Yarrowia lipolytica: one gene and its partners. The protein of the gene in region 1 interacts with the protein of each later gene in a pairwise test. Links are inferred from orthologs where the notes say so. Each region holds a gene or a part of one and is shown in the gene's direction. Other genes may lie near its edges. The genes, in order: YALI1_E11341g, YALI1_C07117g and YALI1_F12874g.

The links.
Region 2: the proteins of YALI1_E11341g (region 1) and YALI1_C07117g interact in a two-hybrid assay, tested with the Schizosaccharomyces pombe proteins (2 studies listed by BioGRID, with this or other methods). The link is inferred for Yarrowia lipolytica from reciprocal best matches to the Schizosaccharomyces pombe genes tfs1 and tvp15.
Region 3: the proteins of YALI1_E11341g (region 1) and YALI1_F12874g interact in a two-hybrid assay, tested with the Schizosaccharomyces pombe proteins (2 studies listed by BioGRID, with this or other methods). The link is inferred for Yarrowia lipolytica from reciprocal best matches to the Schizosaccharomyces pombe genes tfs1 and ndk1.

The regions. Positions count from the first base shown.
Region 1 is NC_090774.1:1,132,867-1,135,599, forward strand, and holds YALI1_E11341g (uncharacterized protein), read left to right. Parts: upstream 1-1,207; coding exon 1,208-2,095; downstream 2,096-2,733. Other genes in the region: YALI1_E11351g (uncharacterized protein), read right to left, coding at 2,196-2,230, 2,682-2,733. UniProt on the Schizosaccharomyces pombe protein: Necessary for efficient RNA polymerase II transcription elongation past template-encoded arresting sites.
Region 2 is NC_090772.1:710,736-712,580, reverse strand, and holds YALI1_C07117g (uncharacterized protein), read left to right. Parts: upstream 1-866; coding exon 867-1,271; downstream 1,272-1,845. Other genes in the region: YALI1_C07109g (uncharacterized protein), read left to right, coding at 1,652-1,845. UniProt on the Schizosaccharomyces pombe protein: Golgi membrane protein involved in vesicular trafficking.
Region 3 is NC_090775.1:1,286,520-1,288,484, forward strand, and holds YALI1_F12874g (uncharacterized protein), read left to right. Parts: upstream 1-885; coding exon 886-1,410; downstream 1,411-1,965. Other genes in the region: YALI1_F12871g (uncharacterized protein), read right to left, coding at 34-675, 722-751. UniProt on the Schizosaccharomyces pombe protein: Major role in the synthesis of nucleoside triphosphates other than ATP. The ATP gamma phosphate is transferred to the NDP beta phosphate via a ping-pong mechanism, using a phosphorylated active-site intermediate.

The DNA.
Region 1 (2,733 bases):
TGGCTTCTGTGTGGTTGAAGATAGTTCTGGAGTGTTTATATCAAATTTTCAGAGTAATTTTATCAAAAATGAGGATTCTAATGTGACGTTGTTGTTGCTAACAAGGAACCTTGTTTCGAGTGCTGGCAGCATGGGTGGGGGAGTTATATAAGGGCGAATAATGTGTGTGTTGGTATGGAAATAAGTGTTTTGGTTGATTTATTTGGCAATTTGGGACTGTTTAATTGTGTTGTTGAAGTATCAGAACTCTGCACTCGAAGTTGAGTATTTTATATTTTCCCTTATCCATGATATGATGTTTACTTGAGACAGTGCGAGGACGACTGCAGTATGTACTGTACAGTACTGAACTGTACTTGTACTAAGTACTCGTAAGTAATTTAGTTGGGATGGCAAAGTACATGGCTTCCGAAGGACATGGCAACGCTTGAGGATACACTGAGTACTTAAAGGTGGAGTAGTGCGGTCAAATTTCGAATCAGAACTCGCTCAGATGATGTTTTTTGTTGTTGGTTTTTTAGAAACGTTTTTCTTTGGTTTTTTGGAGACGTTTTTTTGTTGGTTTTTTGGAAACGTTTGTCTGTCGACTTGAAGCTCAGTTGACATGCGTTGCCGGTTTAGACTGTGCAACGCAACAGCAGCACCCGGAGATATATCGACAAGATAACTTTCGAAGCTTGTCGTCAGACTCATTTGCTCACGTGACACACACTCCTTTGCTCATTAGGCCGTCGTCAATACGCCCAGGACTCTCCTGACAGTGATCAACAACTTATCTGCGCCAAAGATCTACAAGTCTCACCTGAGTTCGCTCATAACCTGTACTGTAGGTTAAGTCCGTTTAAATTGATTACGCCGATGTACCCAAGTACCGGTAGTCCTACAAGATAGGGCGTCCAGTAGCAAGTGTGAAGTCTGCGCATGCTGAGAGCTACCCAGGGTAATTATGGGGTCGTCGTACCCACCGCACGCCCTTACAATCCACAAACAGGCTCTTAACCTGAAAATGCCGGATATATACGTCTCTGGCCCAATCTCCAACCACCTCCAACCACCTCCACCATAGTAATATCACCGTGCATATTGCTGTGCCAAAATTTCGTCTCGGGCAAAAATAAAGTTTCACATTGGAAGCAGTCTCACGCGAACAATTCAGCACTCGGTCGAGACATCATCTCTGTAAAGTCATCATCACATCACTACCATCATGGGACTCAGTGTTGCGGAAATCAAAAAGCTGATGGCTGACCTGGAAAAGGCCAGCGGCGAGGCGGTATACGACATTCTGCAGGTGTTGCACAAGGAGGTGGAGCCTACGGAGAAGCTGCTGCGAGAGACCAAGCTGGGTATTGCCGTCAACAAGCTGCGAACCTCCAGCGACAGCCGGATCTCGGACCTGGTCAAGAAGATGATCAAGTCGTGGAAGGACACGGTGACGGCCCAGAAGAGAGACGCGTCCAAGAAGGTAGAGGGCAAGAAGGAGACCAAGGAGGAGAGCCGACCGGTCAAGTCCAGCTCTGCGTCTTCTGGTAACGCCACTTCGTATACGCCTCCTTCGGGCCAACGAACCCCGGCCAAGGACGGTGTGTCTACAGAAATCTACTCGGACAAGGTGCGAAACCGGTGCATCGATGTAACCTACACTGCGCTGGCTGTCGGCATGACTGCGCACCCCAATGAGGTGCTCGCCTGCGCCAAGGCCATTGAGAATGAGGTGTACAAGATGGAGAACGGCACCGGCGGCAACTACCGCCCCAAGATGCGATCTCTGTACATCAACCTCAAGGACCCAAAGAACCCCGGTCTGCGAGGCAACGTCATTTCGGGCAAAATTTCGGCCGAACGACTGTGCCGAATGTCGCCCCAGGAAATGGCGTCCGACGAGCTCAAGAAGGAGATTGAGGAGATGGAGAAGCAGAACCTGTTTGCTGCTCGAGGAGCCACGGAACAGAGAGCCGTGACGGACCGATTCACATGCGGCAAGTGCAAGCAGAAGAAGGTCAGTTACTACCAGATGCAGACGAGATCTGCAGATGAGCCGTTGACCACGTTTTGCACGTGCGAGAACTGTGGTACGAGGTGGAAATTCTCCTAAGCTGCCGTTGGTGGCGATGACGTGGGTCGCCTGTGCCATGGGGGAGTGGACGGAGGAGTGTGTCCATATTGGAGTGCTTTTGGAGTGCTAGACAGAAGAGCTATGTCTGTGACTGGCTATCTTCGCAATCGAGTTCTGTGAATTCGCAAAAGGGGAGTGTATATAGTTAGATAGGTTATGTATTGTTAGGTGTTAGGATACACTGATTGGAGGTTGAGTGTTTTACCAGTGGCAGTGTGTGTAATAGTTTCAGATGGTCTACCTGTATATTTGTGCTCTGGCACGCGATATTCACTACAACTACCGTATGTACTCTGTAACACAAACAAATACCGCATTTGATGGACAGTATCCTGTTGTACTTGTGCTGGTTGATGAGTGGAAAACACCCAACTATTAGTTGATTATGAAATACAATTTAGTTAAAAAGTAGTTGAGATTAGGAGGCGTATCAAGAACTACTGGAGCTTGGGGTTGGTCAAAAATGTATTGTTTTGAGAGAGTTATAAAACGTCTACATAGTACTGATAATACTCTAGAGGATCCCTGGGGTTCGATTGTAGATGATCGGAAACCCATTAGCAACCACCACAGTTGGGGTCACCGCACTTGGGGCAGTGCTTCTTCTGGGTAGGAGT
Region 2 (1,845 bases), on another chromosome or scaffold:
GGCGATTTCAGGCATGGATTTGGGCGGTGCGTTCCGGCTCGCCAATATCGGCGTTGGCGCCTTGACCGTCGTTGGAGGACTGACTCAGTTGGGTCTTAGTTTGTGAGTACACGGTATGGGCGCGGGTAGGGGGCAAGTCGGAGCAGTGACTGGAGATTGAGGGCTTGAGCGACAACATTGTGTGGGATTGGCGATACAGCGGCGCTTGGGTGTCTTTTTGTGACGACAGTGGCTGTTAGGGGACCCTCAGATACAGGTACTCTGTCTACGTGATGATACGGCATCCACACACGTTGCGCATCACACTGTTGGCACTACATTTCAGAGGTGTTTTAGAAGCACTTGACTGAATGCTTCTAAAGGCTGCTGTTCACAATCCCTTAAATCATAGCTCAATCGGGCCAGCTGGACTTGCTACCTCTTCAATACTAACTCAGACAAGATGTGAGTACTGTACGGACAATGACAGCGATGGTTGCCACTGATACGATAGCCCAACATAATTGATATGCTGAAGACATCAGTGGAAATGGCAATCACGAGAGACTGTGTCGGAGCACCTATCGAGACTGTGCCGGAGCACTCAGCGATACCAGCAATATGATGAGCACCAACGGAACAACAATGAACCGGAACAAGACAACAGAAACGAGAAAACAGATACCACAGATGGGCTGCAGAGAATCGAACCTTGTCTCCAGCAAAGTCCTCTATTCCTGCTGGTTCAATGGGATCGTTCTCACGATCTGTCTTGTTTCACATCGTTGGTAGTTTTCTGGCGTGCTATCTCCTCTGGCGTGCTATCCCCTCTGGCGTGCTATCCCCTCTGGCGTGCTATTGATTCAGACGTACTATTCAGCCTGGCAATGACTGTTGCTCATTCTGATGTGCTTCGCTCATGGCCTCCTCGCCATGGATACTGCCCTTCATCGATTGTTGTCGTCCCAACCTTTGGCAACCCAGTTCCATTACTAACGCAGATTCTCCTCTCATTCTATCTTATCATTTTTGGTTACTCAATTGCATCTCTCGAGTTTGCCACCCCCCCAGTGGCACATAAGTACGGCTCGTTCCTCTTCTCATTCGTGGGGCGAGGTATTCTGTACATTCTGATTGCCGCCATTCTCATGTCTGGTGGCTTCTTCCGATACCTCATTTCGTTCATTATTTTCGGAATCGGCGCTCTCTTTGTGGTGCTGGAGTTCATTCCTTCCATCGAACCTCCTGAGAACATGCGAAACGAGCCCTTAGACTACATGGAGGAGGTGTAGAGCACTAAGTGACATACATATGTGATAATAGATGATGAAAAGTGGCTCTCTTCCTTCCATGGACCCTGTCTACCCAAATTTAGGAGGGATATTATTAATTTAATGGTCCAACATTCGTATATATTGACATCTTCTAAATAAGGTTTTGAAATACCTTCATTCGACTGTTGCTACAAACATATATAATCTAAATAAATCAAACCCCATCCGTTTAATAATTGGCACCATTTTTGTCGCCCCATTAAGGCGGCCATTTTGATACCAAAAACTTGCCCATTTCTTCAAAAAACCCAACAGTTACCCTACTGCAGCATATATGCACACCACCAAGATATTCCATCTCGATATTGTCATGAGCTCTAATACAAAAATACACAACCATGTCGCTGGTCAAGAAGCCGAAAACCGAACTGTCGACGCATGTTGCGTCAGATCACGTGACAGAAACGTCGATCCAGCTGATTGGACACTCGTGCCCGGTTCTGGCGTGTGATTTGAGTGCAGACAAGGAGGTTCTTTCAGGCGATCTGGAGGGACTGGTAAAGCTGTGGAAGCTGTCACGTGATGACACGGT
Region 3 (1,965 bases), on another chromosome or scaffold:
CGACAATGTGTTGCGGTCACGTGGCGATCTGTGTCACGTGGTGGTTTGTGTCACGTGGTGGTTTGTGTCACGTGGTGGTTTGTGCCACGTGACAGATATGGCCCGTATACGTTGTCTTCGTACGGTGCGTGTACTCGTACTTGTACCATCAGCGATACAACTCCTCCATGGCAATGCACATTGAGTTGTCTCCATATTTGCTGTTGTCTTTTGGGAGTGTGGAAAAAACTGGAAAAACTTGGGCGAAAATGCTGAAAAACAGGTACGTCGGGTCTCCAAGCTCATGGAACTCACCAAAACCACCGCCTGATCCTCAGGATACCCACTTGCCACACCCTCTTTCGTGTGTTTCCATCCAAAAAAGGGCACGTGCAAACAGAGTTTTGGAATGTTGTGGAAGTGCCCCTTTTTGACCCTTTTTGACCCTTGTTGACCGGGACCCAGGAGACCCAAAAACCAGCCTAAAAACAGCAGCGGTAGGGGTAAAGGTGCGGCAAAAGACGGGATCCAGAGCCGCAATCGAGAGAGGGTTCGGTCACGTGACTCAGTTGACGTTTCACGGGTCCCATTGATGTCCAATTGGTCTCCTCGTCTCGTCCAGTATAAGCTCAGATCACGTACGGCGACCCACCGGGACAGGAGGACCAGCCGTGACTTTTCACCCCCACGAGTACCCTAACCCTGAAAATTTTACAGGTCCACTAAAGTTGAGGGCTTGTACTTTTCCTCTTCTTTTTTCTTTCCACATCATCCACAAAAATGTCTAACACTGAGCAGACCTTTATTGCCATCAAGGTGAGTAAGAAGCGAGGGTGAAGGAGTCGACGGCAGGGATTTGTTGTGTGTCAATTGCTGAATTGATCCGATTGAAGTGTCTTGAGATTGATGTCGTGTCAGCGAGATGGACAGATCAACACACCTCCGACACATGACCATGGCGCCAACAATGGTCGACCGCCAAGCTCCCCCAAACAACCACTAACCCAGCCCGACGGTGTCCAGCGAGGACTCATCTCTCCTATCCTCCACCGATTCGAGCAGCGAGGTTTCAAGCTTGTCGCCATCAAGCTGACCAACCCCGACGAGAAGCTCCTCCGAGAGCACTACGAGGACCTCCAGGAGAAGCCCTTCTTCCCCTCTCTGCTCAAGTACATGCAGTCTGGCCCCGTTCTTGCCACCGTCTGGGAGGGTAAGGATGTTGTCAAGCAGGGCCGAAACATCCTCGGTGCTACCAACCCCCTCCAGTCCGCCCCCGGTACCATCCGATTCGACTACGCCATCGACATTGGCCGAAACGTCTGCCATGGTTCCGACTCTGTTGAGTCTGCCAAGAAGGAGATCGGCATCTGGTTCAAGCCCGAGGAGCTCGCCTCTTACACCCCTGCCAACATTGGCTGGATCTACGAGTAAGCTATTTGTATAGTTTAATATCTTGTATGTGTCGCAGTGAAGAGTGTACTTGTTGCGGACTATTGTCTAGTAGTTTTCTTGTAGCCGTCATGGAAGGAGCCATCTCCATTGGACACGTGTAACCTTGATGGTCGCCTGTCATTTCACGTGTTGATCCACATTGGATGATTAAGCAACCCAGAGCTGATCGAGTTCCATATTAGACATTTTCAACCACGAGCGTACAATGTTCGTGCAGGAGGAATTTTCGCCAGCATGTTTCTTGCTTGTGTTGGGCCATATGTTCTTTCTGCTCACTTTGTTTACCTTTGTTACAAATTAGTTGAGAAAAATATTCGGCTGGGGGTTCATTTTGCACATTCCAGAAATGCCAGAGTTTTGGAAAGTGGTTCGATTGATAGGTAAAGAGCGACTTCTAAACAAGTTTTCATAATTGACAGTATTGTTTATTGCTAAAAGTTCAGGATACTTGTTTGAAACTTTTGTTGAGATTGTATTGCATACTTTAAAATATATATATATATATTATATACTGTAAAACAAAAAAAAGTATAT